2 linked regions of the Drosophila melanogaster genome follow. The protein of the gene in region 2 purifies or fractionates together with the protein of the main gene of each other region. This does not show direct contact. Each region holds a gene or a part of one and is shown on either strand. Other genes may lie near its edges.

Region 1 (5,126 bases), on a different chromosome or scaffold from region 2:
AAGCACGTGTGCCTTCGGTCTACGGCGTTGCCACTTGGTTCGCGCATAACAGCACCACTGTAATTAATTCACCACGAACGTAAAAGCGCGGGGAAAATAGCGTAGGAGGGTGTCTTGCAGCCGCCTGCTACCCTTTTGTTTACCACTTATTTTAATTTGTCTATTTCTAATCAAATCAATCAAACTTTAATATCAATATTAAATATATTAGAGGACTTCGCTAAATCATTGTCACGTAACTATTTGTAAGCTTTTGTGCAATTTACGGACAAATTCTTGTGCTCAAGAGTATAAAATATATATATTTTATATATTTATTAATCACGAAAGTGTTTACATTTTTACAATATATTAGACTTATAATAGTCTATATAATAGACTTAAAAACAAAATTCTGTTATTACTATCTGAATAGATAACTACTGTTGTCAAGCATGATTTTGTTAGACAATTGTAGAAGCTATATACTTCTCATATCGATATTAATGGGTATGCCACCCGAGCACGTGTGCGTGCTGTTATGGTACAGAACTACTTCATGCGCTGGGATTAACAGCACTCATTGCGCATAACAGCACGCTGTTAGTTTTAACAGGCGACAGAGGTGCCCAAACAAACTCAACATTTTTGCATGCGCATACACACAAGCATGCATGTATGTATGTATGCGTTTGTTTGTATGTATGCCTTTCTCTCGCCATGTTACAAAAAGCAAGAAGTTTTTGGCAACGACAATGAATGAAAAATTGAAATGGCGAATTGCAAATGCGAATTGCGCTTACCTGCGTCGCTGCCTGGCCTTCCTTTCGCGACAGTGGCGAGCGAAATGCCCCCGTCCGCCGCACTCGTAGCACTTATCGTCCCCACGACCACCGCCGCCTCGGTCGCGTCCTCCGAGTCCTCCACCACCACCGCCTCCACCACCTCCGCCACCACCACCGCCGGACCTAGCATACTTTCCGGTGGACAATTCCACACGGGCTCGGCGCCCGCAAACCGTCCGTCCGTCCAATCCGCGCACCGCATCCGCCGCATCGCGGGCACTCTCAAACTCCACGAAGGCGAAGCCCGGCGGATTGCGGGCTATCCAGACGCTGCGCAAACTGCCGTACGCTCCAAATACATACTCCAGGTCGTTCTTCCGGGCATTGTTGCCCAGATCGCCCACGTACACCTTTCTATCGCTCGGATGGCGCGACATTTCTGTTTATTTCGCTTTTCCCCGGGCCCAAATTAATGTGGCAGCAGCGCAGAAAAAAATCGATGATGGGTTGGAATCACTTGCCACCGCCTTCCTGGGCACTTTGGTCGGTCAATCGCGCACTGGCGAACACTTTTAGTCACTTAACACGGTCGGCAGATGCGAATTTTTGTGTTTATTTTCTATTTAATGCAGCGCAAAACTCATTTTACCGGGTAGCAAACAGAGTGACCGTGGACAGACCATTAAAAGAAACTGCGGACTCGCTAAAAATATACCAAAAGTTATGCTCAATCCGCGGGTAACGGTCAGCAAAAGGCGGGAGTGTCTGGCAACAATAACTTCCAGGGCCGAAAAATGAAAATCTAAATATTTCCTTTTCAACTCCTACGAAAAAAATACTCAAAATTATTTTTTCCTTTCAAAACATTCCATCCGCCTAAAGAAAGCGACTATAAAACCTTTTTTAGTATAGTACATACAAATCATATACACACATCTTATTACATTTTTCACCTTTAAGATATTATTGTACTGCACAATTACATTTTAATGTAAATAATTTATAATACATTTTTTTAACCAGTCCCCTTTAACTTCCTTTATATTTAGCCTTCGTGTTAAAAGATAGATATAAATTCGTAATTTAAATTTGTTTTCTAGTATCTGTTAGATTCAGAATATATGTGGAGTATGTTTTAGTATATTCCGTGCAACTTGAGGTATTTTTTTTGGCTGGCGGCGGTCACACAGCATTAAACGTGGCGGCGATTTATCATATAAGTTAGGTTATAATATCGTATGCATCAAAATCATACAATTATTTATAAGCTAGTTTTTTAAGGAAAAAACACTTAAATTTAGTGAATTTGCAGTGCGAAATCTTTAAAAAACCACAGACGAACACTTGGCACAAACGGTAAGAACGAAAAGCGACCGAAAATCGCATTTACATAACAATTACAGTGCTTTAACAAAATGCCTGCCTAGCCTTTCCTTTCCAAAAAAAACGCCTGAATACTTGACGCAGCTGCCATTGCTCGGTGTGCGCGTGTGTTTGTGTGTGGGGTAAAATTGGCTCGATTCGTTCGAATCGTTTCTTCGCCTTTTCGGATTTCTCGACAAACAGAGGTTTGTGCAATTTTCAGCGATTTTTCGTGCCACTTTCGGCACTCTATTTCCACCCATCAAAGTGGAAAATTTCATATTTTTATACATACATACGAAAAAATGCTATGTATAACACCACACCAACGATCACGCACACCATTGCACAGCGCTCGGCGGCCATTCGCGCACACACACGCTCTCACGCGCACACACGTACGGCCAACTCATGCACTCACACACGCCAGCAGATTGCGGTGCAAAATACAAAAATCGTGCGAAATTCGTAAAATTGCGTATTAGAAATCTTGGTTAATTTCGCTCCTATTTCTCCGGCCCGAAAGCCCAAGTGTCAAAAGTGTACCCGGCGTGAAAGTGCATTCGTGAATTAGTGAGTGCCCCATCGATTAAACCGCCTGGCTGGCCAAACAAAACGAAAAGCGTAAAAATACAGTGAAATGCGTTTGTTCCCTTTTCTAAGAACTGAGACCCAAGACATTTCTTGAGACTTCTTTGTTGTATCATTTTTCATAAGGCACGTCTTCCATTTTGTTTTTTTTTCTTCGTTGCCTTTGCCGTGGTGAATTTCCCACACACTGCCAGTGCGATTCATTCAGTTCAGTCGTGAGTACTCAGCCAGCAACAACAATAAAACATTAATCGTTTAAAGCTGGAGGAAAACTCGAAAAAGAATTGTTTGTTTTTTCTTTCGATGGAATTAACATTTATTTTGAGGGCATTGGTTTTTGGTACGTTTGCTTTTCGCTTTCCATTCGCGTTCACGTCACACATGGCGTTGCCACATGTTTTTTCACTTGTTAATGGGCAAAATGTCTGCGAAGTGCTGCCAGTAAAGAAAACGGGATTTTCTTGATAACAAAGTGAATTTAAACCCGTTGTTCATTGGCGTTTGCACAAAAATTTAAATATACTCCTGTAGATGTTTACTTGGCCCACATCTGGCTGTAATCTGTAATACCCTGGCAAATGGCGCGCAAATGTGGTGAACCGGCGACAGCTCTCTTTTCACCTTGGAAATACATAAGTTCGTTGTTCTCATTGATAGGCGGCATGTGTGCTGGTGTGTGAGTGAGGCTGGGGATTTGTTACAACAACAACAACAACAACCATTCCGCTCGTGACACAGCGAAAAGAAAACAATACTTTCACGTAGCCGTTCAAAAACGAGTGAAAGGGGATGAGAGTAGTGTTGGGGTGTCGAAGGAGGAGCAAACTTGTGAACGTGTACAAAAAGCAGTTAGACGACAAACACACATACACGTGTACGGCGGAATCTCTTCAGCTGCGTGTGTTTGTGTGTATGTGTACCGGCCGGTTGCTTCTGCCGCTTTTTTCTCTTTTTTTTTTTTGTTCCTACCTGTGCCTTTCATAATAACTATGCGTGAATTTTTTGTCATCTGACCATTTCTACCCATTCGCACCAAAGATCTTTACACAGCAAGAAATATTGTCTCCGAAGGAAATGTAAATTTAAAAAAATTTCAACCATAGCCCTGGCCTTTAATTTTAATAACGTCAGTTTGCAAATAACCAAATTAACTATTCCACCTTGTTTTTTCCTGTGTAGCAATTCGATTAACCGGATTTCTTATATTCTATGTGTATCTTTCCATGTGCCTGCAACAAAAACAAACCGACGACATCGATATTGTTACGATAGAAAGTTACGTGTGAACGTCGTGGCTTTTGTTTAATTGTTTTGAAGGAAAAAAGAACTTTGGCAACGTTGAAACCAACCTAAGATATTGCCCAAAAAGTAAGATATTGCCCAAAAGTAATTGCGGATTTTTCATATAGTCGGCGTTGACAAATTTTTTCAACGGCTTGTAACTCTGTAATTGCATTCTTTCTTTGGTCAGTTATCAGCTGTTACTTTTAGCTTCCATTAGAAAAAAAAGTGCGCGAAATTTTGTTTTTATTTGTTTGTTTGGCGTCAATTTTAATATGGAGCCCACAAAGGAGCATTTTCGTCATATCTTACTTTATTATTTCCGTAAAGGAAAAAACGCGGAGAAGGTTGCTAGAAAGTTACGAGAGATACGATGGTATGGTGATGAAGCCTTAAAAGGAAGACAGTGTCAAAATTGGTTTCGCAAATTCCGTTCTGGAGATTTTTCACTTAGAGATGAGCCACGTTCAGGCCAAATGAAGTTGATGATGACCAAATCAAAGCATTATTATTTATCGAATTAGATCGTCATGTAACTTGAGCGTGAGATAGGAGAGAAGTTAAATATACCAAAAATCAACCGTTCATTATAAAAAGTCTTGGACTGGTGAAAAAGCTTGATATTTGGGTACCACATGTATTGAAAGAAATTCATTTAACACACCGAATCAACGCTTGTGATAAGCACCTTAAACGCAATGAATTCGATCCGTTTCACTTCAATGGCTGATATCCACCAAAAGAAGGTTATGCTGTCTGTTTGGTGGTATTGGAAGGGTGTCGTATATTTTTAGCTGCTTCCAAGGAACCAAACGATTAATTCGGATGTTCGCCAGAAAGATGGCAAAAGATTATCGAACAATATATTTGATTAAAGTTCATTCGAAGTTTTATTAAAAATGCATTTACTTTCATTTACAAAATCCGCAATTACTTTTTGGACAACCCATACATAAAATACATACAAACATAAATACATAAAAAAAAACACAAAAAAAAAATACCAGCAGCAGTGTAAAAATTGTATATTCTCCCCCAAAACAGGCAACCAACCGAACACAAGTTAATTTCTTTGCACCCCGTGTTAATAAAAAAGCGGCAAGATTACGTCAATTATTGAGAACCTAC
Region 2 (5,289 bases):
AGCAGCCGAATTGGTCAAACAATCGAATTGCATTTGGGTAGCAATATCTCTCTGTTAATAGGCAATGAAAGATTTGTGGGATATTTCCGACTTTAGATTTAGGTTGTTGAACTAATGGTGCATAACCAAAATTTCTGAACTTTTCAGTTTACACAAAACTTGAACCAATTCAAGCATTTTCTCGCCTAACTTTACAGCTGCTGGAAAACTTTTATTTTGCGGCCATTTCGGTTTTCCAAAACCGAAAGTGCCGCCCAAAACGACCCACTCACAATGTAAAACACCACATTCAAAAGGGCAAATTCCAAAAGCACTAGAGAGATTAACGGCCCACGGAAAACTTGGCACTTCGGACTTGGCCAGATGTCCAATGGGCCGATACTGGGCGACGTGGGTGTGCGGATTGGAAAGGGCTTTGGTCTGTGGCCCAGAGATTTAAATCGGATATCCATCCATAGGCATACAATGTCTCAATCGCCACGCACATTGACACATTTTTCAATGGCACTAAAACTGTATAATGGGGCCGTACAACGCATTTAATGTCGGCCCACACACACAGGCCAATTCCGATCGGTTTGAGCCAAGTGCACACAAATTTGGTGGGACTTGTGGCCGGACTGTGAAACTTGGCCAGGTGAGGTCCGGTGGTGGGAGTCTGCTTTCCAATGGAACGACCAATCCGATGTCCATCCACAACTTTGGCCACAACTTTAAACTTTCACGTCTCATTTTGGTGTATGCTGGTTTCAAAAATCGGATCTTGCCCCATGCCTGCCGTTGGCTAGATGTGCCGCCCCAGAAATTTTGGGTTCCGATGGGGAAGACTGTTGCAATGAAGTGATCCTCATACATATATGTATATCAAAATATTGTTGAAGACACAGGCAACACACAATAAGTTCACCGATCCACTGGCATTAAGTGTTGTAATAGTGGAAGGACCTAAATGTGAACAGAACACGAGTAAAATTTTAGAATAAAAGTAGCTTTGTAGACTTAAAAGATTGTTTTATTTTGATACACTTTATCGATAATTAATTATTTTTAGTACGCAATATCTTAATACTGCGTTGAATTTTTGTGAAATTCGCCAACCACACGGAAGCCAGCGAAAAATGTCTTTCGCGATGGAAAGTAAAAGTTGTCGCCGGCCTAGGGTCGCTTATATGGTGCGTCCATCGAAACGCTCGCGAATGCCAATTTTCCCACATACATTTCGCGTTTTGCAGCAGAGTTAACCAAGTTAACACCAACATTTGGCCAGTACGAGTTCGGGGGCTCATTTGCATGGTGTTTTGGACTTGGGGCCCAGATGCCAGCCCCCGCATATGTCCGGCGAAACAAAATGCCGCTTGGTTCTAATCTGCCAGCAATTTCCGTGCGCAATTAATGCCTCCACAGCGCAGTGTCTTAATTAATTCAAAATCAACGCCAACGCGCCAAATTGTGGCCCACCCAGCTACCAGGTGGCAACGCTGAATGTTGTTAGTCAATTAATGCATTAACTAGCCTCCATTTGGAAGAATATTAATGGCCCACCTTTGTATTTAGTTGCTATTAACTTATTTGGCCATTTATTAACTTTTATACTCGCACTTTTGGCTAAAATATGTGTAATATGTTAACCAGCTGCGCAACTCTGTTTGTGCGGAGTGGCAACGCTGATGGGTGATCTCGCATGCTGGCAGTAGGGTGCGAGAGAGCCAAGTCAGAGAGAAACTGACGTCACAAGATGGGTATTGGCGTATTTTTTATGGAAATGGTTATGCAAATATTGACTAAACGTCACCGAGTAGTTAAAAGCACTGATATATTAGAAATTAGTTAATTTAGATCAAAAATACCCCCAAATATATAACCAAATATTGGCTTTTAAATATTTATTAAAAGCAATCGCACTTTGTGACGTCACTGGGCGAGAGAGCAGAGAAACGAGAGCACATTGAAACCACCACCCCACGATCGAACTGGCATGATCTCACACTTACAACGTTTTGTGCTCTTCGCTTCGCATTCAGTTTCTTTTTCTCTTTCTTTGCGCACGGTTCAGTGGTAGGAAAATTAGGAGGAATCGTTCAGTAAAGTCCCGAGATCCGTTCGCTATTCCCCGACTCGAATAAAATCCATATACACATATATCAAATAAACAAAGGATAGGAGTCCTCAGAGAAGAAAAGTGTGTTTAAAAAAAATACTTTCCAAACAAAACGAAATGAATAAAATCCAAAGCCATCCAGTAGCAACAACAAATACATAATCAGCAACTGTGCATATTTCTGCGAGTTTTCTTGCATTTTTAAATCGGTTAAGTGGCCTTGTGCACTCGGTACATCTCCAGGCAAAGGAATTTATACCTTTGTATCTTCAAAACGTAGAAATTTGAATATAAAATTTATTTAAATACTTTTTTGTTGTACTTGCTGTTGCAGCAGCCAAATGAGCGAGGGTGAGAGAGAGAGGCAGCTATTTTGACATTCTGCTTTCATTCATCTCCGTCGCATATACAGTTTTACTGTTTATTGTCCGTGTGTGAGTGAGCGATCGCCGAGGAATTTTCTGCCTTCGCTTTCGACTTGCTGCGCTCTCTCGCTCTCTCAGTATCTCTCGCCCTGCATTGTTGTTGCTGCCGATCGGAAAAAATACTTTTGGGCGGAGTTGTTTTCATTTCGTTTTCCGTTTTTAATATCGCTCGCGTACGAAACTTAATGAATTTCCCAACTCCCACAGTAACGTGTTAAAAGTAGCAAAAACAAATAAAAAAGAAGTGTGCACCAAGTAAAGAAAGCAGAGACCCAAGGAAAGTTGAAAGTTGAAAACCAGAATCTCGTCGAGAACAAAACAAAAAGTTCCCAAAAACCCACACATCACACACGCACGCAACAAAATGAGTGTCTGTGAGAGCAAAGCCGTTGTGCAACAGCAACTGCAGCAGCACTTGCAGCAACAGGCAGCCGCAGCAGTTGTTGCGGTCGCGCAACAGCAGCAGGCTCAAGCCCAAGCCCAGGCTCAGGCTCAGGCACAGCAGCAGCAACAGGCGCCGCAGGTGGTGGTCCCCATGACCCCGCAGCACTTGACCCCACAGCAGCAGCAGCAGAGCACACAGAGCATCGCCGACTATCTGGCCCAGTTGCTCAAGGACCGCAAGCAACTGGCCGCCTTCCCCAACGTCTTCACCCACGTCGAACGCCTGCTGGACGAAGGTAAGTCGCTAAAACTCAAACCGAGTGAGATCCCTCCAAGTCACAGCATCATCCTAATCCCGGATCCAAGACTCAGCGGAAGGATAACGATCACTAGCTAGCCTTTTCTGAATCAAACGATAAACCCAGTTACTGTTTGTTATTGTGATAATATCCTTTTATTCATCAAACACTTTACAGTACCATTAGGAAATTGTTATATATAATAAATGTGATGAAATGTGGTGAAAGAAGAAATTTGGATATTCTTGTTATAATGTTCAGATATTTAACTCTAGAATGTATTAGAACTTTGTGTTTGTATTCCAAAAATTCATGAAAAGAACATTAAACTATTGTAGTATACAAATCGATGCCATTACAGTTTGGTTTATATCTTTTTTAATTGTTCAAAAAATATTTGCAAAGCACTTTAATTCCGAGAATCTGGCGGGATTTATTGTAAACATGTATTACAGAGACTGTAGGTATTTAGAACACATTTGGGTAAATGGGAGAGTTTAAATGAGTATATATGTTATTTTAAAGTGGTGACTTCATTTTCAATCGTGTGTGCCAGGCGTGTTAATGATTAGGGTGCCTCTAACCAAGTGATCACTGTAGTTCAATCAGTTTTGGGGCATGGATCTCTGGGTGTCTGGTTTGTCTCCTCGGCGTCTCCTTTTCGGCATCTTCTCCATCGCGGGTTCTGAGTTCATTCCACCTTACAAACCGAAACGAGATGTTTGTTATTTTTAGTTACTTCCTTTTTGTGCGCCTCTTCGCGGAGCGCACACTACTTACACCTCTCTCCGGGCTCTCTCCTTTTGTATTCTTGGCTCCACACTTGACTGCCAGTGCAGCCTTTGTTGTTCTCATTATGAATTCTTTGTTGACTCGGCCATTCGTAAACCAAAAAGGAGGGAGGCTTGGATTTTGAGAGACGCAGAAGGAGATGCGAAACCCCAGGGGGGGAACCCCCAACAAAGATAGAAACATTAATGTGGTGTGGTATTATGTGATAAGAGATCATTTTATTCACAAGCATGTATGAATTTATACATATGCTAAAAGTTTTAAAATTTTCGAATCTGGAATATTATTGGATCCATTTAATGATCTGCTTTGCTCTGTGCACTGAACGTGTAGCAAACTTATCTGAAAGAGGAAAAATGTACCTCAACTGCCCACGCTTTGCCTCGAAAACCAAAAAAATCAAAAAAAAAGAAAATATGAATAAATATACGGCAACGAAGCAAAAACTCTTAAAGGCAAGCCAACAAAAGTCAACTTTCGGGGCGGGATAGGGGCGGTATAGGGGCAGGGGCGTGGCACTACCTGGTCGCATCTTGTATCTTGTATCTGGCATATCGGAGCTCTCGTTTCTGTATTTGCCCAACATCTGTTGCCCATATGCAGGCCGGCCAAGAGGGTGTGTGTCGCCTCGTAATGACAAAATTATGTTGCACAGATACACAGATTCAGATACTGGTGCGGTATTTGCGGATTGCAAGGTACCGCTAGATGGCCAGAGTACACTTATTATGTACAGCGTATGTTTGGATTACTTTAATATACGTTTTTTTTTACCATATTGCTTAATCAATTTGTTTATAATTGCTACTACAATTTAAATTACATTTAATTATTGCAATTAAACTTGAAATGTGATAGCAAATGGTCTGTATAATAAGATGCAAGATCTTGATTTCTCTCTTCATTTGGAAAATATCCAAGAAGTCGGTGGTCTTATCTAGACCAATCAGATTATTGATTACCAGGTACCAGGAGGTATCGCACTGTCGGAAAACTCGCCCAAAAGCTTATATTCTTGTTTTGGTTTCGTCTCGGCATAACTGCAAACTAGTTTGCCTGTCTACAAATTGTATTTGCTAAAAGCAAAGCGTTGACAATTTGTAAAACTCGTTCCACCAGACTACAAAATCCAAAGAGCTGAAAAAATACGCAAAACAAAATACAGATTTCAAACCCACCTCGTTGGCTTATCAGCTTAGTGGGAGGGTGTCGGACTGGATTTGGGATTTGAGATTTGGGACCTGGGAACCCGAGTGGCGTTCACTATTTACGAATACTGACCGTATTCGAC

The links.
Region 1: the proteins of how (region 2) and Hrb27C purify together in Drosophila melanogaster (affinity purification with western blotting, with the first as the bait; one study listed by BioGRID). This does not show direct contact.

What each region holds. Positions count from the first base shown.
Region 1 is NT_033779.5:6,918,742-6,923,867, forward strand, and holds the start of Hrb27C (heterogeneous nuclear ribonucleoprotein at 27C), read left to right. Parts: upstream 1-1,962; 5' UTR 1,963-2,120; intron 2,121-2,224; exon of another isoform or gene 2,225-2,332; intron 2,333-2,518; exon of another isoform or gene 2,519-2,699; intron 2,700-2,897; exon of another isoform or gene 2,898-3,057; intron 3,058-3,989; exon of another isoform or gene 3,990-3,993; 5' UTR 3,994-4,085; intron 4,086-5,042; 5' UTR 5,043-5,126. Other genes in the region: x16 splicing factor, read right to left, coding at 783-1,201. UniProt on the Drosophila melanogaster protein: This protein is a component of ribonucleosomes. Could be needed to organize a concentration gradient of a dorsalizing morphogen (Dm) originating in the germinal vesicle.
Region 2 is NT_033777.3:22,040,177-22,045,465, forward strand, and holds the start of how (held out wings), read left to right. Parts: upstream 1-2,014; 5' UTR 2,015-2,179; intron 2,180-2,730; 5' UTR 2,731-2,887; coding exon 2,888-3,203; intron 3,204-5,289. UniProt on the Drosophila melanogaster protein: RNA-binding protein involved in muscle development and dosage compensation. Vital role in steroid regulation of muscle development and to control heart rate.